Rattus norvegicus: one gene and its partners. Each later gene encodes a partner of the first gene's protein in a complex. Links are inferred from orthologs where the notes say so. Each region holds a gene or a part of one and is shown in the gene's direction. Other genes may lie near its edges.

The links.
Region 2: Ahi1 (region 1) and Tctn1 share a complex: the UniProt entries of both Homo sapiens proteins name them as parts of the tectonic-like complex. The link is inferred for Rattus norvegicus from reciprocal best matches to the Homo sapiens genes AHI1 and TCTN1.
Region 3: Ahi1 (region 1) and Tmem237 share a complex: the UniProt entries of both Homo sapiens proteins name them as parts of the tectonic-like complex. The link is inferred for Rattus norvegicus from reciprocal best matches to the Homo sapiens genes AHI1 and TMEM237.
Region 4: Ahi1 (region 1) and B9d1 share a complex: the UniProt entries of both Homo sapiens proteins name them as parts of the tectonic-like complex. The link is inferred for Rattus norvegicus from reciprocal best matches to the Homo sapiens genes AHI1 and B9D1.

Annotation. Positions count from the first base shown.
Region 1 is NC_086019.1:17,589,609-17,597,934, forward strand, and holds part of Ahi1 (jouberin), read left to right. Parts: intron 1-807; coding exon 808-977; intron 978-1,411; coding exon 1,412-1,631; intron 1,632-3,251; coding exon 3,252-3,444; intron 3,445-3,661; coding exon 3,662-3,757; intron 3,758-6,942; coding exon 6,943-7,128; intron 7,129-8,326. UniProt on the Homo sapiens protein: Involved in vesicle trafficking and required for ciliogenesis, formation of primary non-motile cilium, and recruitment of RAB8A to the basal body of primary cilium.
Region 2 is NC_086030.1:39,992,025-40,000,350, forward strand, and holds part of Tctn1 (tectonic-1 precursor), read left to right. Parts: intron 1-2,470; coding exon 2,471-2,605; intron 2,606-3,450; coding exon 3,451-3,576; intron 3,577-3,855; coding exon 3,856-3,941; intron 3,942-4,716; coding exon 4,717-4,857; intron 4,858-5,452; coding exon 5,453-5,615; intron 5,616-6,573; exon of another isoform or gene 6,574-7,546; intron 7,547-8,326. UniProt on the Homo sapiens protein: Component of the tectonic-like complex, a complex localized at the transition zone of primary cilia and acting as a barrier that prevents diffusion of transmembrane proteins between the cilia and plasma membranes.
Region 3 is NC_086027.1:68,042,998-68,051,323, reverse strand, and holds part of Tmem237 (transmembrane protein 237), read left to right. Parts: intron 1-2,121; coding exon of another isoform or gene 2,122-2,183; coding exon 2,184-2,239; intron 2,240-2,992; coding exon 2,993-3,150; intron 3,151-6,307; coding exon 6,308-6,431; intron 6,432-6,659; coding exon 6,660-6,851; intron 6,852-7,654; coding exon of another isoform or gene 7,655-7,758; intron 7,759-8,178; coding exon 8,179-8,252; intron 8,253-8,326. UniProt on the Homo sapiens protein: Component of the transition zone in primary cilia. Required for ciliogenesis.
Region 4 is NC_086028.1:46,689,148-46,696,522, forward strand, and holds the end of B9d1 (B9 domain-containing protein 1), read left to right. Parts: intron 1-1,019; coding exon of another isoform or gene 1,020-1,091; coding exon 1,092-1,188; intron 1,189-1,485; coding exon 1,486-1,548; intron 1,549-3,969; coding exon of another isoform or gene 3,970-4,023; coding exon 4,024-4,091; intron 4,092-4,318; coding exon 4,319-4,461; 3' UTR 4,462-4,596; downstream 4,597-7,375. UniProt on the Homo sapiens protein: Component of the tectonic-like complex, a complex localized at the transition zone of primary cilia and acting as a barrier that prevents diffusion of transmembrane proteins between the cilia and plasma membranes.

The DNA of each region.
Region 1 (8,326 bases):
TTTATTTCCCAATGTTTCTTTTTGAAAGATAAATGAATATGATAGAAGTTAATTTTTTATTATTTAAAGGCATATTTTTTTACTTCATAAATCATGAACAAACTTTAATAGGATAGCTTCTGTTCCAGGCTGCTACCTCTTACTGTTTGCATGTGGTACAAATTTTATTTTTATCAAGAATTCTGAAGGGCTGGGGATTTAGCTCAGTGGTAGAGCGCTTACCTAGGAAGCGCAAGGCCCTGGGTTCGGTCCCCAGCTCCGAAAAAAAGAACCAAAAAAAAAAAAAAAAAAAGAATTCTGAACCTGCCCCTAAACAACAAAAGCAATGCACTTTTATCTATGTATGGCTGAAACTTCTTAGAAGAAACTTTGAAAAGTCTTTTACCTTTTAAATCATTTAGAAATCTATTCATTAACATTTAGTTAGCAGCAGGCTGGGATGCTTTCGAATTCTATACGATGTAAGTCCATAACCATAAACTACTATTTTATTTTCCGAGAGTGTGATAGTTCACAGCGGCGGCCAGCTGCAGATGTCTCCGTGCGTGAGCCTGCTCAGAATGAGGCTGTTCCGTGCAGTTCATAGTTTTGTTTTTGTTGGCTCCTAAGATCCATAACTCTTGATCAGATATAAAATATTATCTATGACTCCTAGTTAACAGTCATTTTATTCTATAAAAATATCAGATAGTGGCACTTTTACAGGCGCGTATGTAATATCATCGCTTCTGTCCACCACCCACCTACTAATCATGAATGACAGTTGCAGATGTCCTTTGCAGTGATTCATTCTTGCGCTATGCTCAGTCCCTCAGATGTCTGTGACAGTGCAGCTGAAGGTGAGCAAAAGAAAGAAGGCGCCCCTGAGGGGTCTCACCACAGGGAGGGAGGATGCTCAACAGAACAGAATGCAGATGCCAGTGTACCAGAGAACACAAAGCCCAAACCCAAGAAGATGAAGAAGAAGCCTAAAGCAGGTTTGTTCTACAAATTAAATAAAATTATGTGCCTTTGTAGGATAACGGGACTCTAGAAACTTTAGTCCTTAAAACTGAAGGATATAATTTAAAATAAGTCAAGATACACTGTGTATTTTAATTCATAAGACTAAGGTGTTCATTTGTTAATAATGAATTATTCCCAATTATATGTGGGTATATATAGTGAACTTACAGTTTTTTATTTAGCTGTACAAGGAAATGATCTGCAGTGCCTTGTGGCATAGAAATTTTTATTTTCAACCACCAATTTTAGAATTGCACGTGGTTACCTTGTAAATGAAAGCTAGTAATGGCCTTTCTTTTCCCTTGAAGTTCTTCTACCAACAGAGTAAGACAGTCGCTTCTAAGATTAACTATCTGTAACCCCTAAGTGTGAGAACGGTTACTCCTGACTTTTCTTCCTGCTTTAGTTTCAGAGGATAATGAAGAGACTAATGGAGATGGTGTTCATGAGATAACAGGCCGAGACAGCCCAGTTCATCCCAAGTGTTTGCTCGATGACGACCTCGTCATGGGAGTCTACATTCACCGAACCGATCGGCTTAAATCTGACTTTATGATTTCTCACCCAATGGTAAAGATCCATGTGGTTGATGAACACACTGGCCAGTACGTCAAGAAAGATGACAGGTCAGGTGATTTTTAAAATTATGCCATCTTTAGGTTGAAACTGTGCAGTAGAATTTTTTTTTTTTTTTTTTGCTGCCCTTCATGACTGAAAGTAGGCAGAGAACTGTGGACTGATGTCAGAAAATAGTCCTATGGTTGTAGGTGTCCTCAGCTAGATCAGTAAGCTCTGTACAAGAAATGGAGGGAATGCACCATCTTAAGTATAGTCTGTCAAGCTAACTAATTAGCTCTTAAATTTGCATGGTAAATTTTTTAAGTGTACTCATCGTTAGCCTCCTCCTTTTCATTGAAATTAGTGTGTTACATGGGCCTGGGGTGCTGCAAATGTATCTTGAACATGTTTTCCCCTAAGGTTGTATCTAGAGAGAAGCCATATTTGAATCCATATACATAGGATATGATGTATATAATAAGAGAACACACGTACATAGGTTTAAAAGGCAATAAAATAAGTTGTTATTGTAAAGGTAACTTTTATTTGTCAGATGTAATTGTCATCTCAGAGACTTACTACTGAATAAGCTCACCCTTTCTAGTACTTTCTAAACTCTGGATGGCTGTTTCAATTTAGCTGTTCTGGCTTAAACTCCTCTCCAAAATGACTTATTCAACTGGGCTTCTGTCAGATTCTGACTGTTGCTCTGCTTGGCCTCAAACTGATTCTAGCAATCTGTTCTAATCCTCTGGTTCCTTCTCATTCTCTGGCCCATTCTGTCTTCACATGTGTCTAGCTTGTTCTCTCTGCAACCTGTCTCTAAAACTGTCCCAGTAAAAACTGCCTCTGCTGACCTGTACAGAACTGCATGAACTCAGCACCAAGGAGCTCAACTCTACTGCCTGCACTCACTGACTGACTGAACTCAACTGTATGGACCAGAACTGACTCCCACTGACTGACCCTTCTCCCTGTGCTCCTCTCAAATAGCCTCTCTTTGCTGTGCTGTTCTTGTTGAGAGTTGGGCATATCCTATTCTGTAAAATCTCTCTGACTCATCATTTGTCTGTGCCTCAGTTGGACGTCATTGTTTGGGATTGAAGGTGTGTACTAAGGGCATGTCTGCATTCCAGCCAGCTCACACAGACCTGCAGGTCACTGCACGTGACTAGAGCGGTTAATTTGCTGGATTAACATTTCTCTATACATTATACTAGATTATACTATTCAAAAAAGTATTTGCTTACAAGGATGTTGGGAGAAGAACACTAAGATTATTACAAAAAAGAGAACACATCTGCTTAGTTGTGTTAGTACAAAGAAAATATGACAGTGGAAAAGTTCTTTCTACATTATTATTTGGACTTATTATGCATCTTTTCATAAGCTCATTTAAACTTCTGAGGGAGTTGCTATACTTTAGCTCTGTACATTAAAGGTCAATTATACTTTTCACTTTCTACTTTTATAATAAATTATTATTATCTGACCCGAAGAACCAAAACAGAATGCCAGATTATAATAAAACACCATTACTTCTAATGTTTTATAAAGTGTGTCATTTTTAGATTTAAAGAACATTGTTTTTGCCTTTGTGCCATTATAGTTATTATTTCTGCCTTTGTGGCCTATGTAATTCCCCCTCAGTGTTCTCTCTAAAATATGGAAACTTTGTCTTTGAACAGTGAGCGTCCCGTCTCATCTTACTATGAGAAAGACAACGTGGACTATATTCTCCCTATTATGACGCAGCCGTACGACTTTAAAAAGCTAAAGTCAAGGCTTCCAGAGTGGGAGGAACAAGTTATTTTTAATGAAAATTTTCCCTATTTGCTTCGAGAGTTTGATGAGTGCCCAAAAGTCATTCTGTTCTTTGAGGTATGAATTTAAAAATAATTTTAGTAAATATTTAAGCATACAAGTTTAGGTTGTTGATATTAATAGTTTTGTTATGTGGGAATGTGAGAATTTAATACCAAGAATTTAATGTTGTAGCATGCTCTGTGGGTACCAGATGATAAGATATCATTAGAGACTATTACAATTTAGGCAGTCTGTCATTCTGTAAAATAATTTTTTAAAAATATATCTACAGATTCTTGACTTTTTAAGCATGGATGAAATCAAGAATAACTCTGAGTTTCAAAACCAAGAATGTGGCTTTCGGAAAATTGCCTGGGCATTTCTTAAGGTACATTTTCACCTGTTCTTTTGAACATATTTAAAATAATATCTTCTATATTTGATTGCAGATTTCCACCAAGTCGTTTCAGTCTCTAAGAGTTGGTTAGCGCAACTCTTAGTAAAGCTATTAAAAGTCTGAAATTCTTATTGATTACCCAGTGTGTACTATTTATACTTTTTGACTCTGGGGATGCTATACTCAAAGGCACATGCATCCTACCATCTTGTGTTCAATTTGTGAGAGATTCATTCAGCCCTTTCAGTGTGTGGGCCATTGTTCAGTCAGCAGCCCTGAATCCCTTGACTTCAGAACATAAATGTTGGAAGATGTGAGGGTCCGAGCTGTACTAAGTTTTAAAGAGCACTGCAAATAATAATAGTGTTTACACAAAGCAGTGTTTTAGGGGCTGCTCGTTTATCCTGCGTTACAGTTTGAGCAGACCTGCTGTGTGGGCCTAAGCTACAGTTAGAACACCACAGATGCCACAGCTTTTTATTTTTTACTTTTCAAGATCATGTGGGTTTTAATTCATCCATATTGAGCCACCGTCAGAAGAAATTAATTTATCTCTATCTCCAGAGAGGGGAGCAGGTTCTGTGTTTTCCATTTTTAATACTGTGTGTCTTTTCCTTCATCGCACTATAAGCTTTACAAAGTTACCAATAATCTTGTTTGCATTGATTTTTGAACAGTTTTAGGTTTTTATTTTATTTATGTGCATAATCACACACACACACACACACACACACACTCAGAGGTATGCATGCACCTACACACAGATGTTGTATTAGATGTATTACATAATTCCCTTGGGCTTTCACAAGGTCACTGTGTCCCAGCACACAGAGGTACACAAAGGGGTGAATGTCTACTGAAGGACTTCCTGACATGAATGGAAAGCAATTGAGATAAACTTAGAACTTGAATAAAATGGCATGAAACAAGTTGATATGTAAGTGTCTCAGAATTTGTGCTGGTGGATTCAGGACTATCCTGCTTTTCAGTGATCCATTAAACATATTTAATTTTCAGTTACGCCTTTGGTCTCAGGTTATTTGAATTCTTGTAGAATATGCTTGTGTCTGTTTTAACCGTGCAGTGATGAAGCTTACGTAGAGCTAGCCGTGTTGTAGTTTACAGTCATGATGGCATGCTCATTAGGGCTTTCTTAGCATGAGTTGTTTACTTGGCTAAGCAATACCCCAGTATAAACTACTTTGTCTAGATAATATTAAAACAACTTTAAAAAGTACGATTCGGGAGCTGGGGAATCCTTAAAGTCTGAGGTGTGCTCTGGGCAATAGTAAAGGCCTGTGCAGAGTGTGCAGAGTTCATATTTAAAGGTGAGTGCTGCTTTACTCCTTCTAAACTGTGTTTCCCCTCGAGCACAGTATCACTCCCTGAGCCTCTAAGTCTGTGGTCTCCTCATCCTTCCCAAAGTTGTAGGGAAACACGCTACACTTGGCTGTGTCTGCTTCCTTGCTGATACGTCTTGATCAGGCCACGATCTGGATTTTGCCTCTACCACGAAAACTTCTCCAGCTGAATCACGAACGTTTCTCTGTATGCCACATGAGAACATTTGTTACTTGTTCCCATGTCAAACATACATGCATTTAACACGCTGTTCCTTTGATGTCCCTGCTGCCACTGCTTTCTTGGCAGCACTCTCATGTGCTTTGGGTACCCCATTCCTTCAGGATTGGTCCCTACCTCCTAGTGTAATTCCAACTCACAGTTTCTTCTCTGGTCACTGTTCTTAAACCACTTCTGTTTCCTGTTCCTCGTAATTGGCAGACCCGGCAAATCTCTAACCCCTCTCCTGTTTCACATCACCTGCACAGTCTCTCGAGCTTATCACCATAGCAACACTGGCAGCTTTGCTGCAGAGTAAGTGCAATTAGGCATAACGGAAAACTCACTTGTATGGTTGCACCAAGCACGCTTGAGGACTTGACAGCCCCATGTGCTCACTCACTGTAGCGCATCCCATCGTCACAGGCCTCTGGGACAGCTCTACACTGAGTCTTCCTTGGATTTTTTTACCCTGACTTTCCAAGTTGTGTCAGTCAACAGCAGCTACTGCGTGTCCTACACTTAATGGCCGTGCTGCTACTTCTGGCGGTGCCACTTCCTACTCCAAATTCACAGTGTACACAGTGCTCCTGCACGCTCCCTCTCCCCCTCCCTCCCTCCTTCCCTCCCTCCCTCCTTCCCTCCCTCCCCCCTACCCTCTCTCTCTCTCCTCGGCAGTATTTCCTCTTCATTCATTAAGTAGGAAAAGAAAGCTTTATCTGAACTGCTGAGATTTTAACCTTTTTCCTAAGAATCTCCATCTATCTGCTTATCTTAGTTTTTATTTAATTGGCTTTTTCAATAGACCATTCAAAGAAGGTAGACTAAAATATTGAAAAATGAAGTGGACAATTTGAATTACCTTATCTTAAAATGATTTTGCATCTTAAAAAAATCTAAAACATAATTTTAACCATTAAAACTATTAATATAGTCCTGGAGTTCCAGCTACTGGGGAGACTAAAGCAGGGTATTCACAAGTTCAAGACCTCCTTGAGTTCCCGAGTTCCAGACCAGCCTGGCCAGGTTCCTTTCAAATGGAAAGGAAAAGGAGGATAGGGACATATCTTTCATACACTTGTGGAGCATATGGGAGACCGCAGTGGGTTTAATCTTCAGTCCTGCTGAGGAAAATAACGGCCACGTGGAAAACATGTTTTGTTTTGTTTTTTTTGGGGGGGGGAGCTGGGGACCGAACCCAGGGCCTTGCGCTTGCTAGGCAAGCACTCTACCACTGAGCTAAATCCCCAACCCGGAAAACATGTTTGTGTGAAGTGCTGTGTGCTTTACTCTTTCTTTACCATCATTAGTTCAGGCAAGCATGTGTCATCTGCTGTTCTGTAACATATACTTCCGCTACTGTGACGTAAAGGCTTGCACGGCGGTCTGCAGGCGCTGTGTGCTGAAGACTGCTTTTAGGAAATGTTCTCAAAGTCATTTGTCAAAATGAGCCCAAAGTACCTGAGCCCTAGGCTGATCTGCCTTTTTCTTCATAAGCCTAATGAATTTCAACCTTGTTTTAATCTTTTAAAAGCAAGCTTGTGACTCTGCTGTTGCTTTCTTGGATGTGTGTGTTTTCAGAAAAGTTAATTATTTACACAAATTCTTACTTTAAGCTCCTGGGAGCCAATGGAAATGCAAACATCAACTCAAAACTTCGTCTGCAGCTCTACTACCCACCTACTAAGCCTCGATCCCAGCCAAATGTTGTTGAGGTTTTTGAGTGGTGGTCCAAGTGTCCAAGGAATCGTTACCCATCAACACTGTATGTAACCGTACGAGGGTTGAAAGTCCCGGACTGCGTAAGTTGTATTCCATTATAATATAATATATATATATATGCATGTATGCATGTATCTCCTCAACTAAAATTAAGGATGGCATAATATATTTTCCATATTTAAAAATCTAAGTTCTCAGAATTATTTTAACAGCTTTTTAGATGCCTACAAAGACTATACATTAAGTCTATAACAGTTGATAGTTAGATGAACTTTAAGTTTTAAAAAGTAAATTTCATTGTTTAAAAAAACTCTCCTAGCATACTTTCATATTTTGTAATAAAAATTAGAAGATGAAAAGTTGGTACTGGGGAGCCTTTTATTATAAAGGGCAAAAATTAAAGTGTTTTAGGCCTTCAGCCAGGCTGTGTGTGTCACAACTACTCAGCCTTGAGGTGAGAGAGTAGCTGTGGAGACAATAAGACACAATGCCTTCATGTGTCTTTATTTGTAACAAGTCGTAAAACAGATTTGTGTTGGTCTAAATGGAGTTAAATAAAATATATCAGGGGATAGACTTTTTTAATCTCAGATTTTTTTATATTAGTTTTGTGATTGTTTTTAAGCCAGCAATATCATGTTATATCAGAGGCATAGTGTAGAACTAGATAGGTATTCATGAGGAGGAAGACACAGGGACAGAGCTATCAAAACCCTTTTGTGCATCCGGGTGTGGGGACAAGCCTGTCACCCCAGCATGTGGGAAGTAGCAGAATCGGGAACACAAAAGCCACTTCATACACAGCAAGGTTGAGGCGGCCTGACCTACACGCAACTCTATCCCAAAAGTAACACAGATAACACAATCAAAGGGAGTAAGTAAAGCCATTCGGCTCTGGGAGTCTGCCACGTTTCCTCCAAATGTTAAAGCTTTGAGATTACAGAAGCATAGTTGAAATAGCTTTTATTTGTTTAATCTACAAATGAAAACAAGATCTGGCTTGCATTTCAAAAAGGTTTCTATACCATTTGTTTCAGTATTTTCATTTCGTTTTGTTTTGTTTTATCTAAGACAGGATTCCACTATGTAGGTCTAGCTATTCTGTAACTCACTCTGTAGACCAGACAAGGCTGGCCTCAAACTCACAGAGATCCCCCTGCCTCTGTTTCCTGAGTGCTAGGATTAAAGGTGTATGCCACCACAGCAGGCTCTGTGGCAGTATTTTAAAAACAGTAAGAATGAGAATCAGCTGTGGACAAGCCTCTGGCCTGCACTTGA
Region 2 (8,326 bases), on another chromosome or scaffold:
TCTGTCTCTCTCTGGGTGTGTGTGGGTGTGTGATTTAGTGGGATGGGATGGGGAGGATGTATACATGTGTGTACAAAAACTGTTAGCCAGAGGTCAACCACCCATATCACATTCCTCAGTTACCTGATTTTTTTTTTTTTAAGATTTAATTTTACCCAGCCATAGAAGCACATGGCTTTACTCCCAGCAACTGGAAGGCAGAGGCAGGCAGATCTCTGTGAGCTCAAGGGCAGTGCAGTCCACATAGAGAGTTCCAGGCCAGCCATGGCAACACAGTGAGATCCTGTTTTCAAACAAAGCAAAATGTGTTTCCGTGACACAACCTCTAGAAAGTGCCTGTTTCTACCTTTGAAGCTGGCCCGGCCCACTCCATTACTGGGTAGCATCCAGTGGTCTTTTGATTTTAACAAGACCCAGCTAAGTCACAGCCCAGGGTCCCCACATGACTCTGCTGAGGTGGCATAGAGAGTTGTGCATACTAGATTACCTTTATCCTGTCCCCCATGTCCCCACACTGTCCCCACACTGTTCCCTGTGCGAGTGAGTGATTTGCCCTGAGAGGGCAGTTGTAGTGGCCTTGGTCATAAGAGCAGACGTGTAAGGGCTGCATCTTTAGTTCTAAAGTGATGGCTTCAACACTTGCCAGTATGAATTATAAACAGTTCAGCAAAATTGAAGACAACATGAAGAGCTTTGGGCGCCTTCCCAAATATGGCTTCCAAGAATTAACCTGGAGAGTCCTCGTCAGAAGCATCCTGTCTGTCCTCAGGATGTTTTGTCACTCTTCTGGTGTCATGATCCAGGCTTCCTGACAGTATTTAGAAAGTTTGCAGGCTCGGTCCTCCCCGATCCTGCTGCTTAGCCAGCCACTGTGTGTGAGCTGCCTGGAAGGCAGGCTGCACCTCCTGAGGCAAGGGTTTGCTCTGGGAAGCTGGGCTTCGGCTGTGAACCTAAGACTGAGTGTAGAGGTCTGCACTGTGTTCCGGTGTTAAGCGTGTGTGTATGTGTGTGTGAGCGTGTGTGAGTGTGAGAGAGCGTGTGTGTGAGAGTGTGTGTGCATGCGTGTGTGTGTGAGTGTGTGTGCCTGTGTGTGAGTGTGGGAGAGTGTGTGTGTGTGTGCCTGTGTGTGAGTGTGGGAGAGTGTGTGTGTGTGTGTGTGTGTGTGTGTGCACACGCGTGCACAGTTGGTCATACAATGGAACTGTGTATTTGTAATGTGCCGGGCAGTTTCCCCCTTTGGTGCTGGGTTGTGAACCCTGTTCTCCCATATGCTGGCCCTTCTGTCAAAGTGACCAATGCTCTGGCTTTGGTCAGAGGTTGTGCCAGCGTCTCTGCAGTCTAACCCAGGAGGTTTTCATCACTGTAAGAACTGTAGTATCCCTTAGGTGTCACTCCGTGGGCTTTTCAGTTCTGGTCCCTGATAACCACTTTGGTCTCTGCATTGGAATATCCATATTGAGTGCAGTCTGCAGGATATATGGCCTTTGGTGTCTGCTTTCTGTTCTTTCTTTTTTAAGATTTATTTATTAATGTCTGTGAGCACACTGTAGCCATCTTCAGACACACCAGAAGAGGACATCAGATCCCATTACAGGTGGTTGTGAGCCACCATGTGGTTGCTGGGAATTGAACTCAGGACCTCTGGAAGAGCAGTCAGTGCTCTTAACTGCTGCACCATCTCTTTTAAAACATTTCTTTTAAAAACATTTCTTTTTATTATTTTTAAACTATATTCTGGGAGTGGGAGGTGGCATACCTTTAATCCCAGAACTTGGGAGGCAGAGAGAGGCAGATCTCTGAGTTCCAGGCCAGCCTGGTCTACAGAGTGAGTTTTAGGACTGCTGGGGTTACACACAGAAGCCCTGTCCTGAACCTGCCCCACTCCCCCGCACCCCCGGAGATGATTATGTGCATGTCTCTCTGTGTGTGCAGTCCCAGAAGAAGGCGTCAGGCCACTTAGAGCTGTACTTACAGGTGGTTATGAGCCCCTCAGCATGGTTCCAGGAACAGTGCTCTTAACCACTGAGCCATCTCTGCAGCCCCTGGTGTCTGATTTCTTCCACTTACTGTTTTCAAGACTCACCCTGCAGTAGCACGTGTGGGTATTTGGTTTTCATGTGTGAGTCATGTTCCTTGTGAAGATGGACACTTGACACTGGTCCAGTTCTCAGCTGATGGACGTCCGGGTTGTTTCCGTGTCTGTGATGAATAGGCTTCTTAGAATGCACCTTTGAACACGTGTGGTGTGTGTGTGTGTGTGTGTGTGTGTGTGTGTGTGTGCTCGGAAATACCTTCACTCTTGCAAAGGTGTGTGCACTGTGTGCACAGTGTGGGTAGCAGTGGGTGTCCTCTGCTTTGCATTTGCTGCCACTGAGTGTTCATTTTAGGCTCTGGGTGCTGGAACAGGGTCACCTGTGCTGTATGTCGGATGTGGCTGGTAGCCTCATGACCAAGATACTTTCCCTCTCAGGTCTCCATCAAGATCCAGTCTATAATGTATCGGTCTCTGAATCACACACTGACCCAGTTAGAAGGCCGTGGTATCCTGCGGCCATCTCTGGTCAGCACTGGGCAAGACAGACTCTGCAGCAACGTTGTTCTCCAGGTAGGCATCCAGTGTGTCTGCAGTCTTGCTCCAACTGCCTGACTCCAGCCTGCTGGCTGCAGGGGAACTTCACACCTTCCCCTGCTGGACTGCTGGTCGCTACCGTGCTGGTTCTCTTCTTGGTTGACCTCCAGCTGCTCCTGCTGCTCTGCTCTCCCGCCAGAGAGCAGGCCTTCACCTGTCTACATGATCCAATACCTTGCAGGAATACATCACATTTTTCTTGTCAGTGGTTAGGACGATGGCTCAGTGGAGTAAGAGTGTTTGTTCCACAAGGATGCAGACCTGAGGTCAAATCCCTAGCACCTATGTAAAAAGCCAAGCATGGCTACCACCATAACCCCAGCACTGGGGGACAGCAGATCCCCAAGAGTCAGCCAGCCTCACTGAAATAGAGCTTGTGGTTCAATGAAGGACTGTGTCTCCAGGCAGTAAGTCTGAGAGTTACAGAGGAAGACACCCAGTGTCACTCTCTGGCCTCTGGCCTCTGGCCTCTGCATGTGCAGGCATGGGTACACACTCTCTCACACTCGCTCACACTCTGCATGTGCAGGCATGGGTACACACTCTCTCACACTCAGTCACAGGCACCATACATACAATTTATCGCTACCACCATTTGATGGGACTCATTTCTTCTGCAGAAATAGGCTGTTCACATTGTGCTTGAGTCAGCTGATCTGAAATGTCAAAACCCTGGGTACAGAGAGGCTGAGGTGACTGTCCACTAGGATGCTAAGGGGATACGAGTGACATGATTGGACAGCAGACTTGGGGGCTGTGGTCTTTCTGTGGCTGCTTTGTTGGAGTTGGTAACATGGCTGCTGAGCCCCATTCTTCCCCAGGTAAAGTACAGTCTGCTATACACAGCCAGCGGCCAGATCCAGGAAGCCGGCCTCTCCCTCGTGCTGGGGACGCTCATCAGCACCGTGAGTCTCCTGCAGCAGAAGTTTGAGATTCACTTTATTCAGGTGAGTCTGAGAGGAAGCCTGGCTTCTGGGGGCAGCACTGACAGTGGAGAAGCATGACCCAGCTCCCAGCCTGAGCTGCAGTAATGTGTGGGGTTTGCCTGGAAGCCGGGTGCTGTCCCATGCCTTGCAGGCTCACAGAGCGCTGTCCTCCCACTCTCTGGGATCTATTTATACTTCAGAACAGAGGGAGCTGCTCTTCCAGATGTTACAGTGAGAAGCACTGTGTTGCCCCCGCTCTTACCTAAATAATGTTGCCCAGGTCATCACCTTGTCTTTCAGCATGGCACCAAGCCTGTTCCTCTCAGTGGCAACCCTGGTTACAGAGTGGGACTCCCGCTGGCCGCTGGCTTTCAGCCTCAGAAGGGGTATCCTTTTTTTCCGGGTCTGTGGAGAAGGTCACCTTCCCTGTCTGCATGGTGGGCCGTGCTTCCATTTGTTGCCAGAGACGCTGTGGGCGGCCTATGGGAAGGAGGTACCTGATTGGCCAGAGCTTCCACTGAAAGCGCGTTCCACTGAAATGTGGCACGGCTGGTTTAAATGGAGTCTGGTGCTTTGGGGAAGATGGCAGTGCATTTAAAAGGACAGCTGGAGGCAGAGGGTTCTTCTAATCTTTGATTCATTTATTCAGTTGTTTTTAAGAAAGTCTCTCACTGCGTACTGGAGCTCACTATGTAGGCCAGGGTGGCCTCAAACTCAGGAGGATGCCTTGCCTCCTGAGTGCTGAGGTCAAAGGTCACTCTTTGGCATCGCTTCCAATCTCAGGCTGGCTGTGGCGGTGACTTGAGGAGTCTCCTGTCTCAGCCCCCTCACCTTACACTTCATTTCGAAACAAGGTTCCAGCAAGTCGGTCACCCTGACTGGTCTCACGCTCACTTGTAGCTCAGGTGGTCCTCAAATGTGCCCCCCTCAGCCTTTTGAGGGGCTTGATTGTGGGCCTGGCCACCGCAGCTGGCTGGAACTAGTTTGGAAGATGAGCCAATCAAGAAAGAGATTTGCTGCCGTGTTACCCTTCCTGGTAATAGGCCAGGGCCTGGAGGAGCCTGCGTCTCACTCAGGTCTCACAGCATGCGTGAAGCCATTTTCTTCCTAGACAGTCTGACTGCTCTGGAAGTGTTGACTGTCCCTTAACAGTCTGTGAATGTCTGGGATTATTCAGACAACGAACAGACAAGGCCAGCTTACTATTCTTCGTAGCACAGGCAAGCAGGACTGCCTGGCCAGCCACGGGCAGCGGGCTCCTGTGCTGTTTGGCTACAATGTGCAGTCTGGCTGTCAGCTCAGGTGAGTGGCTGTGGCAGAGATCACACATCCTTCAGCTTTAGCCACATCGATAGCACAGGCGTCACAGTGGAGGCTGACCCTAACCCTGTGTAGCTCAGGGCAGACTCGAACTCCTGGCCCTCCTGCCTGAGCCTTCTGAGATCTGCAATGGCATTTATGGATCTCTGGGTCTGTGTATTTGTTGATGAATTCCTACTCTGTACAAACCCTTCTCTTTGCTCCTCTCATCTCCCTTCCCCTGTACCCTTCCCACATCTTTGCAGTGACTCTGTTGTTAGTTTGACTGCTAGATGTCAGATCAGTGTTTCTTCCTAAGAGTTCCACCGAACACTTTGCCACAGGATGCCAGGAGACATGAGAAAGCCACTGTGTTTCCTGGCTTCTGCCCATGGCACAATGTTCAGAGGGGGCAGGGGAGTGGGAGACAAGTTGGGAAGCTGCTTTGGGCTATCTCCATGACCAGGATGTGCAAAGGCAGGGCCATGTCAGCAATTGGAGGATCACATTTTTGGAGAGGGAGGAAGAAGTGTAGAGGCTGACATGTCTTGGAGGTTGTCAGCTCCTCCCTCTGTTGGCCTCTCTTTCCTTCTCAAAGGTTGACAGGCACCATCCCATGCGGGCTTCTGGCACAGAAGATGCAGGATCTGCTGAGAGGCCAGGCCTTCCCTGACTACGTGGCTGCGTTTGGGAACTCACGAGCCCAGGATGTGCAGGACTGGGTGCCTGTGCACTTTGTCACCCACTCCTCCAACACGAAGGTAAAGACTGAGAGGCTGCTGGCCCCCCTCGAGTGTGCCTTCCTCTGCCTGGTGGGCCACAGGAGGCTAGGGAGGCACCAGGGCGGGAGGGAGGCAGGCAGGCAGGTTTCAGGGAGGGGGAGGGAGGAAGAAGGCTACAACCAAGCTGGGTGGGTTTCCAGCTCGCTCCTCTTCACGTGCCTTGATGAGTAGTTTTCAAGCGTCTGTTTGCTTCCCTGTGATGTGGAAACTGAATGGACCAGGACAGCACAGGACCCCAAGACCAAGTTCTCAGCACAGAGGAGATGTATTTGCCCCAGAGGGACAGAGGGCAAGGAATAAGAGACAAAAACAGGAGATAGAGGATGAGGGGGAAGGAGAAAGTAAGAAGGGATGGGGGTTAGGGGTGTGATAATGCCCTGCAGGGACAAAGAACTGCCTCTGGATAGAAAGGAGACAGACAAGGCCCGTAGGCAAATAGAAATTTATAAGGGATGAAATGTTTTATTTTAACTGGGTGTGTTAATCAGGGCAGCCAAAGGGGGCTTTACTTTGATAGCTGGACCTTGGTAGTCAGCCTCAGGAGGAGGAGGAAGTGGCCAAATGTGGGCACAGGCCTTGGGGCCAGCTTTGGGGATGTGATCTAATGATTTAACAAGGCAAGGCCTGCCAGAGCCATGTTGGCCAGGCCCGGGCCTACCAGAGCCCTCCAGAAACAATGTCACTGACCACACAGGGTTATTTGTTTGGTGTTGGCGGACACAGTGGTCACTCCATAAACTGGGAGCACAAGTGACCACCATAGTCGAATATGGTTGGGAAATCAATGTTACATCTAAATCTGGAACTTTTTAGTGCTAACATGTTACTCATCATATGGTAGCTGTGGTCAAAACTGGGGCTCCCTGAAATATCTCTAGCCCTCCTGTGTGAGGTGGACATGAACCGTGAATTTCCTGTCCATCTTCAACTTTCTCAGTCCCCAGGACACCAGGCCCTCCAGAGTTTCCTGCAGTCCTCCAGGATGGTCAGCTCAGAGGGCAGTGATGCAGTAAGCCTTCCTCGGGCATTTGGGGACAGGAGGGACAGGAGATGTGGCCATGCCATGCCCTCTGTGCTGTAATGGCAGTCCACCCACACGGGAGTTCTTTCCATTCCAAAGTTCCCCAAAGAGTTTAATGGAAGCTGACATCCTACAAATAGCTTCCTGGTCACACGTGACTCTTCTGCCCACCTCCTTCTCTTGTCTTAACAGCAGAGTGTGGGCTGTCCCCAGCGGAGGTGTGCACTCCATTCTCCCCTAATTACCCAGCTATTTCTTGTCACAGCCGCTTCAGGCCTCTCAGTATCTGCTTTGTGTATTTACAAGGAGCAGCTCAGTGGGGAGAGTAACCTCACCAGACCTCCATTCCAAGAATCACTTAACCCCTGCTCAGCCTCAGTGAGCCTGGGGCATGGCTCCTAGCTTCCTGACACTGGGTAAAGACACCAGGCATTAGTGCCAGAGGAAGCAGGCCCACTGTACCTGCCACAGCTCCTCACCTAGCGACAGGATATTGGCAAGCCAGTTCAGTGACAAGGTTCCTAAAAGGCACTTGTAAGCTAAAGAATCCTGTGAATGCTTTTGGCAGTCTCCAGTTTAGCAGGTCTGCTAGCTTTCTAAGCCAGGACATAATTTAGAAAAATATACATGGAGATTGAAACATCCAGGCAAGTACTGTAGCTTAGGGGCCCTCTGCCCACTGCAGCTCCTGCAGTCCCAGTTCTCAGCAAGAGGAGGGTCCGGAGGCCCCGAGTCCATCTACCTCAGTGAGGATGCTGCACTGTTACTGTTGTTTGTTGATTGAGACAGGGTCTCTGTAGTCCTGGCTGTCCTGGAACTCGCTGTGTGGACCAGGCTGGCGTTGAACTCAAGTGTCTGCTGCCTCTGCCTCCGAGTGCTGGGAATAAAGGTGAGCACCATGACTGCTCTGCACTGTCACCTTTGGGAACATAGATACCATAGAGCAGGCTGGCTTCAATCCCAGAGATCTGCCTGCTTCTGCCTCCCCAGTACTGGAGGAAAGGCATGTGAAACTGAGCTGGGTTTTGTTTTTTGTTTTGTTTTGTTTTTGGTTTTTTTTGTTTTGTTTTGTTTTTGTTTTTTTTAAAGATTTAAAAAAAAAGTGTATGGGGGCTGGAGAGAAGGCTCAGTGGTTAGAGCACTGACTGCTCTTCTGGAGGTCCTGAGTTCAAATCCCAGCAACCACATGGTGGCTCCCAACCATTTGTAATGAGATCTGATGTCCTCTTCTGGTGTGTCTGGAGACAGCAACAGTGTACTCACATACATAAAATCTTTTATTAAAAAAAAGTGTATGAGTACACGTATATATATGCATGGGCATAGTTCCTGCAGAGGCTAGAGGAGTGTGTCGTGTCTCCGAGAACTGGAGTTACAGGTGGTTTTGAGCTGTCAGGTGGGTGTGGGGACTCAACCTAAGTAACCAGTGCTCAACTGCAGAGCCATCTCTCCACCCCAGGATGTATCTTCGTTGCTAGATGGTGAAATTAGATGACAGAATGCTGGTGTTTCCTGTTTTATTCTAACATGCGATACAAGCAAGTTCACCTTCCCACTGTTAAATTCTCTCTTCCCTGCTGACCCCTAGCCAGTGTCCAGAAACATCTCTGAGGTGGATGAGGACTGGTCGAGGCCCTAAAGGTCCCACCACTGGGTAGTGGAACTTCAC
Region 3 (8,326 bases), on another chromosome or scaffold:
TATTAATATTAAACAAAGGAGAGGAAGGAGTAACTGTGAGGTTAGCTGGTCACTGTTATCACAGATTAGCCCTTGAGGAGAATTTAACAGTGTTTCTCCTGACTAATTAATGACTGTGCTCTTAGAGAGCAGCAGGTACTGACTGATTAAAGTTACAGGAGCAGAGTGGCAGGACTTAGGACTGAGGAGAACACAGGCCAGTTTTGGGAAGCATTGAAGTGGGTGTCACAGTACCTGGGCGCTGGAAGAGCAGAAGCAGTTGGAAGGAGACCCAGGTGACTCCCACGGGAGAGCCTACCCTCCGTTCGACGTAGGAATCACCAGCATGAATGTAGGTTGATGACAATAAAGTTTTGATCATTTGGTCAGGATAAGAATTTGAAAATTGAGATGATACCAATTCCTAGACTGTGAAGAATAGCTGCATAAAACTGGCCTAGCCATTTTCAGAACATTCTTGACCCAGCTGAGCGGCGGCACGTGCCTTTAGGCTCACCACTTTGGAGGCTGAGGCAGAAGGTCTATGAGTTCCAGGTCAGTGTGGACAAAGTGTCTCAAAAAGACAAAACACAAAAGAAAAGAAAAACCAAACCAACAAAAAGCCCAAACTGCAAAACAAGCCGGAGAAGAATCAGACCAAAGGAGATCTGCGTTCCGGGGAGCCTGCTCTAGCCATTCTAAGTGCACCAGCTTTGCCGGTCTGGTGGTATAGTATTTTTCTCTTTTCTTCTGAAGCAGGGTCTTGTGTAACCCACACTTGCCGTGATGTGTAGCTGAGGATTGAACTTGTGAGCCTCCTCTTTCCTCACCACTTTCCAGCTGCTAGGATTATGGTGACCACGCCTGTTTTTCTTTTTTCTCCAGTGCTGGGGACTGAACCTTGTGCACTAGGCGAGCACTGTACCATCTGAGCTATGTCTGTTGTCTGTTGCTCTGACTTCTAGGAGTTTAAAGCTCTGGTTCTTGTTTTGCTTTACCCAGAATGACCGTTGTGTACTGTTCTGCCTATATTGTCTTTCAGGCCTGGGCTGCATTTTAGTCAAACGTTTGAAGGGTTGAGGCTGTCTCGGGATCTAGTGTTTTCAGGTGGGAAGACTAGCTAATGGGTAGGTGGCCTGTCCACTTGTTTGAACTTAATGACTCCACTGGGTGCAGGATAGCAGAGGTCATATGACTGAGATCCCTGCACTCTCAGAAAGCCTGTTGTCTGTGGCTTTGGGCAATTTGGATGACGAACGGTTCCCCACACTCACGCAAACCTTTACTAACCTGTAAGGGCAGCTCACTGTGCCTTCGCACGTGATGACGAACACCTGCTTCCCTTCTGGGACTCTGGGATTTTGGTAAGTGTAGGTCTGTGTGACTGACGTTGAGTCTCTGATGAGCTTCCTTGTCGGATCTGCCTGCCCTGTGTTGGCATAACCTGCTGCTGGGATTCGTGGCACGGTTTGCTCTGGCGAAGGACTGTTGTCACTGCGCTGTTTCACCTGGGTTCGCTCCACTTTTCCTTTTGCTGATTTTGCTTTTGTTCTTTTGCTGTAATAAACTAACCACGAGTGTAATGACATCTGAGTCCCGTGATTCCTGCCAACAAGTAGCTAAACCTGGAGGTACTCCGAACTTGGAGGCTAGTGTTTGGTTTCATTTGTTTGAGGCAGGGTGTTACTATGTGGTCCTTGCCAGCCTAGACTTTAACTATGTAGTCCAGGCTAGTCTCAAATTGACAGAGATCTGCCTGTCTCCACTTTCTGAATACTAGGATTAAAAACATGCACCACCACACCAGCCAAATTTTTCAGATAAAAAAATTTACACTTCTATATTTTAAATGTAGAATTTCAAGTTTTAATGTCAACCAGTACAGAAAAAAATTAAGAAATCTAATCCCAGTGGGCATGTTGGCACATGCCTTTAGCGGGCAGTTCTCTGAGTTTAAGGTTAACCTGGTCTACATAACAAATTCCAGGGAAGCTGAGACGACATAGTCAGACTCCGTCTCAAAGAACACTGCCCTTGGCGAAAGAATTGGTCCAACCAAAAGTCTGACAGTTCTCTTGTCTCGAAAAAGGTGTGTACTGTTTCATTTCTACCTTGTAATCATGTGACACATCTTACTTTCAGAGTTGGAGACTTCCTTCACTGAAAAGCCATCCAGTCCGTCTTTACTACGGAATGAAAACGGCATGGACGTGGAGCCTCGTGAGGAAGTGGTTATTCCAAAACCTCGAAGGAAGGCGAAGTAATAGTTTATTCATCCATGGAGCTCTTCCTCAGAGCTGGTGCTGTGTTTAGTTCAAGTCCTCGCTGGGTCTCATCACACCATGTGTTGTGTCAGGATAAGCAGTAGTACAGAAATGAACCGATGCTATGAGGAATTTGAAAAGAATAGAACACTAAAGAAAAGAGAAGAATAATGTATGGAACTAGCCCAAGGAGTCATCTCGAAGAAAGCACAATCAGAGAGAATATTTTCATATAAGTTACAAAACTCGTCATTAAGGATAAATACTGTGATTCATTTCTCCATGTTAATGGATTTGAAGTAGGAAATAAGCCTAACCATTGTGTTTTAATATAGGAAATTAACTATCTTATATAGTTATTCCATTATTTATTATAAATAATAACATATCATTATAATCATATAAAATACAACAGCATACTTAAAATATACTGGAAGTTACATAACATTAATGTTTGTACATAAAAATTACTGCAAACAATAACCAGTCACGTTTAGAATTTTATAATTTGAAGTCAGGAGAAATCTCGTCCAGTGAGTGTCCATTTTCCAAATGAGAAGTCCGAGGTTCACAGGAACGTGTGCAGTTAATAACAGATTTATAATTAGATTTATTAATTAGATTTATTAACAGCATATTTCTTTCACTCCAAGTTCAGGATTCTGTCTATTATATTCATGGGTAATTTCTTGTGGGTCTTTAAAAATTCAAGAATTATTTATTGTTTCAAAGATTTCCCCTGATTTCAGGAAAATGCAGCCAGCGGAACCACAGTATGCCAGCGAGCTAGGGGTAGAAGATGAAGACGTAATTACGGATGAGCAGAGCACTCTAGAACACCACTCTAGGTTCACCGCACCCACCGGAGTCAGCCAGCCTGTTGGCAAAATATTTGTGGAAAAAAGCCGTAAGTAACTCCTTGTTTTGGAATACAATTGCTCTGAATATTGTCAAGGGATATCTTTAACTTGGTAATTATAGTTCTGATGACCTGAATGAAGGAAATAATAAAGAAATATGAATGAAAATTGACAGACAAATCTAGTCATTATACTATTGTTTTTTTTCCAACTAGATTTTGTTTTTAATTGAAAATAGATTATTTTTTCCTATACAGTATATTCTGATTTCAGTTTCCCTACCCCCAACTCAGGTGTTACCCTGAAGTAATTACCATCTGCTTCTTTTGAGACAGGACCCACTCACTGGGCTAAAAATGTACAGCAATTTTAGGTAGGCTGTCAGGACCCAAGTCAGGTCTCTGTGCTTGTAAGACAAGGCCATCCCCCCGACTCCCTCTTTTTTTAGAGCAATGTGACCAGTTATTTTATTCTTGTTTCCTTTGGTATAAAAACTTTTCTGTTTGACTGACCAATAAAGAAAACCACAAATGCTTTTTTTTGGCTCTCCAGGAAAGTTTTTTTTTTTTTTGAGAAAATTAATTATTCTTTCATCCTTTAAAAATATCTGAGCAATGGGTTTTGTGAAGGTAATTGAGATGGCGTCAGCCTGCTTCCTGACCCATTTCTGGATTGCAACACCTAAAGAAGAAAGTGACCACAGTGCATATGTGCGTTGCCCCAGGCCGACTCCTGAGTCTCAAGAGAGCCTTTTGAAGTTCTCTTCCCTGCCAGCACAGGAGGCTGTGCTGCACACTCGGGCATCTCTTCTCAAGAATTGTAAAGAATTTTTCAAATAATAGCTTGCCTTCATAGTGTAAACATTTAAAATAATTTTTAAAAAAATATTTATTTTAAAAACTTATTTATTTTTATTTTATGTGTTTGAGTGTTTTGCCTCTGTGTTCTAAATGTGTGTCTTGTGCCTACAAAGGTCAGAAGAAGGCACCTAATCTTTAGAATTAGAACTACAGTGGCTGTAAGCCACCATGTGGGTGCTGGGAACAGAACCCAGGTCCTCTGCAGGAACAGCAAGTACTCTGAACTTCTCAGCCATTTCTCTAGTCCCCAACCTTTTCATCTTAATATTCCTAAAGTATTTAAATTACTTCTATAGACTGTCTTGCTTTTAAATTTAATTCTGAGTTGAAAGTTTATTGTTGATTTAAATATAGTTGATCTTAAAATTGTTATTATTTTAATGTTGGCCTTGGGTTAAGAGGAAAGTTATCGGCATTGCATTATTATTTTAGAAGATGAAAAACAACTAAAGAAATGTTCAACATCCTTAGTCATCAGGGAAATGCAAATCAAAACAACCCTGAGATTCCACCTCACACCAGTTAGAATGGCTAAGATAAAAAACTCAGGGGACAGCAAATGCTGGTGAGGATGTGGAGAAAGAGGAACACTCCTCCATTGTTGGTGGGATTGCAGACTGGTAAAACCATTCTGGAAATCAGTCTGGAGGTTCCTCAGAAAATTGGACATTACACTACCTGAGGTCCCAGCTATCTAACATTCCTGGGCATATACTCAAAAGATGCTCCAACATACAATAAGGACACATGTTCCACTATGTTCATAGCAGCCTTATTTATAATAGCCAGAAGCTAGAAAGAACCCAGATGCCCTTCAACAGAGGAATGGATACAGAAAATGTTGTACTTCTACATTATGGAGTACTAATCAGCTATCAAAAACAATGACTTCATAAAACTCATAGGCAAATGGATGGAAATAGAAAAATATCATCCTGAGTGAGGTAACCCAGTCACAAAAAAGCACACATGGTATGTACTCACTGATAAGTGGCTATTAGCCCCAAAACTCAGATTACCCAAGATACAATCCACAAACCACATGATGCTCAAGAAGGATGACCAAAATGTGGATGCTTCAGTCCTTTTTAGAAGGTGGAACAAAAATATTCATAGGAGGAGATATGGAGACTGAAGAAAGGCCATTCAGAGCCTGCCCAACCTGGGGATCCATCCCATATACATATAGCTACTAAACCCAGACGAAATTGTTGATGCCAAGAAATGCATGCTGACAGAAACCTGATAGAGTTGTCTCCTGAGAGGCTCTGCCAACCATTGAACTGAGAATGCGGTCCCCATTGGAGGAGTTAGAGAAAGGATTGAAGGAGCTGAAGGGGCTTACAACCCCATAAGAATAATAATACCAACCAACCAGAGCTCCTAGGGACTAAACCGCTACCCAAAGAGTACACATGGACAGAGGATAGCCTTGTCAGGCACCAATGGGAGGAGAAGCCCTTGGTCCTGCCAAGACTGGACACCCCCCACCCCCATTGTGTAGGGGAATGTCAGGTCGGGGAGGAGGGAAGGGGTGGGTGGATGGGTGGGGGAACACCCTCATAGTAGAAGGGGGAAGAGGAATGGGATAGGGGATTTATGGATGGGAAACCAGGAAAGGGGTTACATTTGAAATGTAAATAAAAAATAGCATATATATATATGATATATATATGATATATATATTTAAAAAAAGATGAATAAATTGGGGCTAGAGAGATGGCTCAGCAGTTAAGAGTACCAACTGCTTCTGGAGGTCCTGAGTTCAATTCCCAGCAACCAAATGGTGGTTCACAACCATCTGATGGAATCTGATGCCTCTTCTGAAGAAAGAGACTGTATACTCACATACATAAAATAAATAACTAAATCTTAAAAATAAAGATGAAGAAATTACATATCTAAGTAGTCAAAGGTGAAAGAAAAGGAAAGTTACAGTCCAGTGTAATTTTTAGAATAAAAAAAATAGCAAATTCAACCCCTTCTATTTATTTATTTATTTATTTATTTATTTATTTATTTATTTAGGTTTTGAGCACATGTGCTTGTAGGTGTGAGGTAGACGAGTGACATTCGTGTGAGGTCAGGACAACTTTGTGGGGCCAGTTCCGTCCTGCTGCCTCTGTGGGTCTAGGGCCAAGCTTAGGTCAGCAGACTTGATCTGAGGCAGCACCTTTACTCCACTCTGCAGGCTCCTGGTCTGTTTTCTAAGATTTTATTTTATTCCAATCACTTACATGTGCATGCTCGTGGAGGCCAAGGCGCCAGATCCTCCTGGACCTGCAGTTCAGGCGCTTGCTTGTTAGCCTTCAGTGATTGTGTTCTGTCTGCTCCGCACTCCCAGGGAGATTTCAGGCGGCGGACCGTTCGGAGTTGATAAAGACCACAGAAAACGTAGATGTGTCAATGGACATGAAGCCATCTTGGACTACCCGCGATGTGGCACTTTCCGTGCACCGAGCTTTCAGGTGGCTGCCTTTTGTTGGTGTTCATTAAGCAAATGTTAATTGGATAGCATCGTTTAAAAGAAAAATGTTTGGCTGTTCCAACTTCGTAAACAATTTAAAATGGAATGTAGATTTATTCTTGTAGACATTCCATTTGTGCTTTTCAACTTTATTTTATTTGAGGAGGTTTTAAAAATACCTTAGCTTTTTATTTTAGTGGCTAATACATAACTAAAATCTTCTGTGCAGGATGATCGGCCTCTTCTCTCACGGCTTCTTGGCTGGCTGTGCTGTGTGGAATATTGTTGTGATCTGTGTTCTCGCGGGAGACCAGTTCTCTAATGTCTCCAACCTTCTGCAGCAGTACAAGCCCTTGGCATATCCCTTCCAGAGCCTTCTTTACTTGCTTTTGGCTCTAAGTACAGTTTCAGCATTTGACAGGTAAGGCTGTTGTGAATGCGGGCTCTTCTAACCTTCCTTCAGGAAGAAATAGTAAGCAATATATGTCACTATGGCTTTTCAAGGTTGAATGACCCTTTTTTAAACCAGTCTTTGGATTAGTATGGCCTTGTCTTCATTTCACTGTATTCATAGAGATCTTGTTTCCAAATGAAGTCACTTTCTTAAGGACTAAGGTTAGACCTTCACCACTTATTTTGGAGAACACAGGTCAACCCATTTTTAAAAATATCAGCAGGGCTGGAGAGATGGCTCGGTGGGTAAAGATGCCTGCTGCTAAACCTGCTGTCCTAAGTTTGCTACCCAAGAGCCACGCTGTGGAAGGAGACAACCAACTCCTACCTTCACATAGCTCCTGTGTGTGTGAGTGCATGGGCGTGTACCCACCTGCCCATACAAACTAAATAAAATCACACCCCCCTCAAAAAAACCCAAACAAACCCTGCCTATTGTCATGACTGGCCTGTTTTTGTGATAAAACACTATGCAAAAACAGTTTTGGGAGAAACAGGTTTGTTTTACCACATATTGTATGGTCCCCTGTCAGGGGAACACACAGCTAGAACTCACCAAGGCCAGAACCTGGAGTTGTGAACAGAGACCTGGTACTGGTTTCTTCTCCATGGCTTGCTCAGCCTTCTTTTTATACAACCCAGTACACCTGCCCAGCGACGGGCCTGCCCCAGCGATGGTGTCGCCCAGAGTGAGCCGGGCCCTCCCACAGTCTTGATTTGTTCCTTGGTTGTTTTTTTTTGTTTGTTTGTTTTATTTTGTTTTTGAGACAGGATTTCTCTGAGTAGCCTGGGCTTCCTGGACTCCCTCTGTACACTAGGCTGGCCCCAAACTGACAGACCCACCCGCCTCTGCTTTCCGAGGACTTGGATTAAAGGTGTGCACCACCCCGGCCCTGAGCACATCAAGAAAATGCCCCGATAGACTTGCTTACAGCCCAGTCCTATGGAGTCATTTTCTTAGTGGAGGTTCCCTCAGCTTCCCAGATGACTCTAGGTAAAGACCAGTTGATAAAAACTAGGCAGCACTGTAGTCCAATAGTTTACCGGGAAGAGGAGGAAGCTAATGATTTTTGCCAATCAAGGTTAAACTGTTTCCTCATGTGTCTTAATACTCATCTTCGTGTTAGATAGACTTTGTAAATCAGGTAGATACTTTCTTTGTTGAAGTTCAGACGTTAACTAGAGACTGGCAAGGGACAGACGTGGTGGCGGTAGAATAGAGAAGGGGACCCAGCAAGGGAAGATACTGTTGTGTTTCAGCTGCACAGTGACACAAAGTCTTCATCTCGTTCTAGGATCGACTTTGCTAAAACCTCAGTAGCAATCCGGAACTTTTTGGCCCTGGAGCCAACAGCTTTAGCCTCTTTCTGTAAGTAATAGTTACCTTAATAACTATGTTATAATTGAGGAGAAGAAAAATATTGTACAATTTATACTTTAAAA
Region 4 (7,375 bases), on another chromosome or scaffold:
CTTTCCCCTCATCCTATAGCCACCCTTCTAATCCTGAGCCCTTACAAAGCTAGGAAAACGAGCAAAACAATGGAGGCCGCCAGGACAGGTTACGGTTGTTCTGTAAGGTTAGCAAGAGTGTAGTCCAGTGAAGTTCAGAGAACACTGTTGGGGGAAGCAGCCATTGAGAGTACAGCGTACTGTAGTACTAACCAGAGAACTGCCTGCCTGAGTCCTTTACTGAGCACATACCCAACAGAGACCAGCACTCAGAGGTGAGTACAGTGTGACAAGAGCTTATGTGTGACTGACCTGAGACTTACTGCAACAGTTCTCAGAGGAACAGCCCATGTGCCCACAATCACCAACAGTTACAGTTAATGGGGATGGCCAGGTATGTAGCACTGAGAATGACAAGGCTGAACAGGAACTATCTGAGTAACTCCCAGGTCACCTTTGGTGGCAGAGTGAGAGGCACAGCTTTTTTTATCCTTCACTGAGCACCACCTGTGTGGTGCCATTCTAAGGTTTTTAGACACAAGAAAGATCATGAGAGAAAAAGTTGGTCTAAGGCCATTCAACGGTAACTACAGAGCCAGCTTCCAGGCCTCACCTGTCCTTTGGAGTAGAAGATAGTAGTGGGTCTGGCTGGGTGTGAACAGGAAGCATTTTTAAACGTCAGTATGTTAAGGAAAAAGTACCTGAAAGGCCATGATTTCTTCAGGGTGTCAGAGTTGGTAAGGCCACACAAATCAGCAAGGAAGGAGGGGCTCAGGGTGGGCTCAGGGTTGGCACAGGGCTTCCATAGGACTTCCTGTGTCTACTCAATGTTCTAGCTCTCCTTCCCAACTGCCAGGCCACCAGCAGAGATACAGAAAGTAGTGGGGGAACACAAGCCCTGGGTATGGACTGGGTTCCTAGGGCTCTTTTTTTCTGGAGCTGGGGACCGAACCCAGGGTCTTGCACTTGCTAGGCAAGCGCTCTACCACTGAGCTAAATCCCTAACCCCTAGCCATCACTCTCTTAAATGTCTGTTCCAGCTTTCAACTAGGCACACCAGCTACTACTCCCCTTCCCTGATTTTCCTACATGTCAACCTTGTCCTTTCCAAGGGCCACAAATTGTACTCAGCGTGTATGGACCGGACGTGTTTGGGAATGACGTGGTCCGAGGCTATGGAGCAGTGCATGTGCCCTTCTCTCCTGGACGGTAGGTGCCCATGCTTGACTTGGCCCCTGGCCTGCAATTTGCCCCTTACCGAGCAGGCAAACCTTGAAAATAGTAGTTTTAGACTCAGACTCTCTGGCCACTGCTCCTTCCTCTGACTTGGGCAAGTTACATTCAGGGACCTGGGTGGCCTGGCACCTTGGAAAAGACCCATGTAAGTAGGATATATGTACCGCTGGAGAGGGACAGTAGTGAGTGTAGAAGGAAGAAAGTCCAGTGTGGAGCCACACACTTTGATCTGTTCCTCAGCACATCTCTGTATGAAAACACTTGTTTCAGGCACAAAAGGACCATCCCCATGTTTGTGCCAGAGTCTACATCTACACTACAGAAGTTCACAAGGTAGGTCTTCTGCTTGCCCTTGATCTAATGGATAACTGATTGGCCAGCACCTTCTACTAAAGCCTTCATGCATTGGCACCACAGGGAGGCCATTTTGGGTAGGAACAAGAGCAGCAGCCATGCGGAATCTGGGAAGCATGTTCACACATAGGGCCCTTCGTCCTCTTTACAGGCCCTGAGGAAGACTTAAGAGTTAGGAGCAGCCAGTGGCCAGGATATGACAGTGAGAAGGTCCCATACAACAGGACAGAAACCTTGGAGAGACGCCTTAGAGGAAAGGCCTTCTACCCTTTGCCACATCCAAGTAGGAATTTGCTAGACCAGCTCTGCTGTATGCTATCTCTGCTCCCCTCCTGGTTGAAAAGGATGAGAAGAAAATGAAGGGCCACTGGGTTCTCAGGCAGCAGCCAATGAGAAGCTTCTTGCAAGCTAGTATCAGGCAAAGGGACCTGGGCAGAGTCCTGATAGGAAGAGAAAGCGAGCTCAACCAAGGAAGTCATCTGAAGTCTATACAAGGAAGGGACAACATTCACCATTGGCTCCAGCCCTAAGATTCAGATCCCCATTGCCACAAAATACTCTCTAGGAGGAGCTCTCAAGAAAGAAAGGGCTTCTTAGCTGTTCCTGGGCTAGGATCACCTGGGAGAGATACCACCAACCTTCGGGACTGAAGTAGTAGGTCAGGTCATGATAGTGGGCTTAGATAGAAGCCATAGAAGGGAACTAGACCCTAGTTTTCATAGGGCTGAAGAAAAAAAGGTTCTGGGCTTCAAGAAAGACTTATGGCTGGCTGCCTTGACAGTACCTTGCCTTAACCTATCATGATAACCCAGGATAGTTTCTACCTTGTAGTATTCTTAGTAATACCTATATAGACCCTCTTCACAAATCCGGTCACCTTCTCGGTGTCTCTGGTCCTCCCTCAGTATTCCTAAAGTTGTTACTCAGACCACTGCAGTATCTCCAATCCAGTCCTTCCAGAGTCTTAGGGTGTTGTTGCTGCTGGAAGCACTGTGGCTTACCCTCTGCATTTGGGAGTCTCTTGAACCAGGATGGCAGTGGCCTCCCTTGTTTGCTTCCCTTTTATCAGCCCTTGGATTTTTGAGCCCACGAGGTTCTGCTCTGCTTCAGCCCTTGCCTGGAACATTGTTCTGTCTCTTCTCAAATGGAAAAAGATTTTTTTCACTTAAATGTAGAGAGAACTTTGTGGAACAACTCCACCAGCATTCCGGTTTGCCTGAGGAGGTAGGACTTTGTCTACTTTCTGGGTAGTTTGGAGCAGGCTTTCTGGTAACCATGACTGTAGAAGAGAACTGGAAATATGGCCAGGGTGCCTACATGCCAGGATTGCTCTGAGACTCCTCATAGTACTGAGTGCAGTTAGAACTTTTATGTTGGGAAACAGAAGAGAGACACCCACTCATCTAGTTTCTAGAATGCTTAGCTGTAGGAATCCTGGCTTCTCTACTTAGGTTGTCTGAACTCTTCTCCTACGGCCCCCTCAGGAACTCCTACCCAGCAGTTTAATAGGACTGTGATGTCTAGCCTAGAAGTCCAGAGATCTAGCCATAACCTCAGCATAGCTGTAGGTTGTGGGTGTGTAGTCATGGTTACAAGAATGCCTGCTGCAAACTGTCCAGGTAGAAGACGAAGTCCTACCTCTTCAGGCAAACAGGAATGCTGGAGTTGTTCCACAAAGCCTGAGTTAGTCCTAGCTGCTGTGCTTGGGCTAATTCTGTATGCTCCAAGCCTATACAAAATGCAGGGTCTGTATCCATATATCATAGAGCTGTGGGTGGGGCCCAGGATCTGAAGTTTGGGTGCAATAGGATTGTGAATTACAAGACATTTGTAGGAAGTGCTTCTGAGTTTGCCAGCCAGGGCCTGGGGGCTGAATGGTACCCTTGGCTAGGTGAGACTTTTAAAAGTCAGATGACCTGTCGCTATCCACAGGCTTCCAGGGCCAGATCCTCCCTAGAATGGGTAATGTTTCATACAGCAGGTGATAGGGTGCCTTCACTTCACAGTCTCATGAGGTAGGTGCTATTATTACCCTATACTAGATAAACAGGTTCAGTGGTGGGGTGTGGCTTGTCCTGGATCCCACATAAGGAGACAAAGCTTAGGAAGCTGGATCTGGCCCTTCTTGGGGTTAGGCTTTCTCTCCTGGTTGTACTATTGGCCCTGCATCTCTCTCAACATTCACCCTTGGCTTAAAACCACAAAAGACTTGGCCAGGCAGGCTAGACACCCCTTGGAGCACCTGGCACTATTAGAATTGTTGGCAATGGACCCCTAACAGGGGACATCTCCTGGCACCCCGCTTGGCCTATCAAATAGGTAGGAGGTTGCCCTGGCACCTAGAGGAGGGGTTGCAGGAGAAATGCTACAACCTCTTAAGCCTGGAACACTCTTGTTCAGTGTCTGAAGCCAGCAAGTCCCAAGTGCTCCTCACTGGTGTTTTCCTGTTCTCAGCTGGTTCATGGGACGTCGGCCAGAGTACACTGACCCCAAGGTGGTGGCCCAGGGTGAAGGTCGGGAAGGTAAGACTGATGCTTCAGGTAACTTAAGGGTTGAGATGGGTCCCCAATCCCTAGGAGCCCAGAAAACACATGTGTGAAAGTCAAGGAGCTTCCAGACAACTGGGACCTAGTGATATACAAGACACCCAAAGAACTTTCTAGACCACCACCTACCTACACAAGGGCTTCAGCAGGTGGTTTCTGTCTGTCCCAGTCAAACCCAGCTAATGCTCAGCTTCTGTCCCCAGTGACCCGTGTTCGCTCTCAGGGATTTGTTACCCTCCTCTTCAATGTGGTGACCAAGGACATGAAGAAGCTGGGCTATGATACTGGGCCTGTGGACACACAAGGAGTCCTGAGTCCCAGCCTGCCACAGGGAAACCCACAATAAAAATGTCAGCTTTTCTCTCCACCACTGTGGACCAAATACCTTACAGCCCACACACAACCAAGGACATACCAACCTGGCTGAGAAGTGGGGGAGATAAAGATAGTTTTATATAATAAAGTGTCACTTTTTTTTCAGAGATTCTGGGGCCTGCATTTCTTGATTTCTTCATTAGCACCTCTCTAACAGAAACAGGCCTGGCGCCCAACAGGATGTACCCAGTAGAATGTCATGCTGGAGTGGAGGCCTCTCCAGGACTGCTGAGCAGTTTGCACAGAGCTGACCCCCCCTTTCAGTGTCTTCTTCAGCATCAGGAAGTTAGTCACTTGCTCCATGGCTGGCACTGTGACTATTTACCGTATTGTTAGCAGACTCCCAGGGCCCTGAGCGGCACCTGCCTTCCACCATGCATTCCTGTGCCCTACTTCCATCCTGATCTTCGTGTGCTGCCTGAGGATAGGGAAAGAACCATCCCAGGCAGGAGACTACCACCAGTGCGGGTTCCGGGCAAGCGCCGTAGCCCAACACCCTGACATCTGTGGGCCCCTAGTTTTCTCCACGCATGCTGGTAGTGTGACACATGAATTAACATGTTGTCAAACTACTCCACAACTGCTGGTCTCACCAAAGCTTGCTGTGGTGCTGTCTTCTCCGCTGTTCTTGTGAAGCACCTCTTCCACGCCCTCCACCCTTGCAGAAGGTATAGACCTCACAGTTCAGCAACTTCATCACCCAAGGTCTCTCCCTCAGTCCAAAACTCCCTTCTACACCTGATGTCCTTTCTGTACACTAGCCCTCATGGCTGTCAAGTCAAGGCACAGAAATATACCATTTCCCAAGAGGCTCTTGCATGTCTGCCAGTCACGGTGAGAAACCACACAGAGGAGAGCTTTGGAGCCCAGTGACTGGAGCATATCTGGAATGTAGGATTATACTAGACATGTGACCATTAAGACACATGACACCTAGGTTTATCGTTTACTTACTGTCACAGCTGTATCTACCAGACTGTTCACCTTTTCCTAATCAAACCATAAGACTACATTTCCTAGGCCTCTTCTGTCACACTGTTAAACTTATGAAATGCTGGAAGGTTGTTCACCACATAGAAAGCCTGACCCCTTAAACCTCCAGAGTTGCCCTTACTCCTGTCCATGGAGCCCTTGGACATCCACACTGAAGGCAGCAGCATGAGAGAATAGTGTGGTGTCAGATTCCAGCCAGAAGGGGTGCTTCAAGGATACCGGTGCTGGACATTTTGTGGGAGTAAATTCTATTATGTTCTATCCTGAAGAGAAAAAAGGGAGGCAATGGGACTTAGTCCTGTATGAACTCTTGACAAAGAACTGTTATAAGGAAAGAGCTTATGGTGTGAGTGAAAATCAGAAGGTATGGCACACAGCACAGACTGCAGTGGGGAGTAGGCAGGAGTGAAGAACACACACTCAACAGCACAGAGCCACTGGCAGAGCTCAAGGAAGGTCCCATGGCTGAGCCAACAGCTCCAGGGAGGACAGCAGCATATGCCAGAAAAGCAAAGTTTGGGGAAAAAAACAGGCCAGTCTGTAAAATAAGAAAGGAACAGAAACAAAACTAAAGAATATTAACATCGTAAGATTAGGAAAGGACTGGACAGACAACTCAGCAGAGAGCATGGCTGTTCTTCTATTAGACCAGGATTTGACTTAAGTCCTGGCAACCATATGGTAGTTCATAGCTGTCAGTCACACCAGTCTGAGGGCATCCAATGGCATCTTCTGGCCTCCAAGAGTGGCAGACATGCACATAGCTTAGACATATATTCAAACAAAACACTCATACACAATAAAATTTAAAAAAAAAAAAGGCTAGGTGAGAGGACTCTAAAACCCAAATATAAGACTTAAAATTAGGGGTTGGGGATTTAGCTCAGTGGTAGAGCGCTTGCCTAGCAAGCGCAAGGCCCTGGGTTTGGTCCCCAGCTCTGGGGGGGGGGGGGGGGGGAAGACTTAAAATTAAAACAAAACACCCTAGTTTTTTTAATAAAGAACAAATGTAGAGCCAATTATGTGGCATGCCCCTTTAATTCCAGTACTTGGGAGGCGGAAGCAGGCAGATCTCTGGGAGTTCAAGGCCAGCCTGGTCTACAAAGCGAGTTCCAAGACAGCTAGTGCTGTACATGGAGAAAGTCTGTGTCAAACCAAACACAATAAAAGCAGTATGTGTCAATGGAACTTACAAAAGCAAAGGGCTCACAGACTGCTGAGGTTCTGAGGGAAGCAGTCTCCTGTCAGGGTCTCTGTTGCTTAATAAACACCATGACCAAAAGCAAGCTGGAGAGGAAAGGGCTTAGTGGCTTAGAATTCTACCTTGCAGACCATCACTGAAATAGGTCTGGGCCACTGAGGGGCACTGCTTATTGGCTTGTTCCTCGTGGCTTGCTCAGCCTGCTTTGTTACAGCAATCAGAACCATCAGCCCAGGGATGGCACCATCTACAATGAGCTGAGCATTCACCTATTGATTACCAAAATGCCCTACCAGCCTGCCCAATCCTATGAAGACATTTTCTTAATTGAAGCTTCCTCATATTCCAATGTCTCTAGCTTGTGACAGAAAAGCTGACGTAAAATTAACCAGCACAAAACCACAGGATCTATGAGCTTGGTACTCAGAACAAGTCTTGGCTGGTAATACCTACGTGCAGGCAAAAAGCTGGCTCCCAGCTGCTCACTCAAAGGATGGGCCTCCTGCAGAGCTGAGCCTGAGGCCATCCCAGACCCTTTCTGGTACTGGAGGCCTCACAGAGCCCCAGTACTGTGTATTTATGGTAGTGTCGCTCACCCTGCTACACTGCTGGCTACCTCGAGAAGCCTGCCTCCACAAGCCCTCAATTTTTGTTTTGTTCTGTTTTTTTTTTTTTTTTTTTTTTTTTTTTT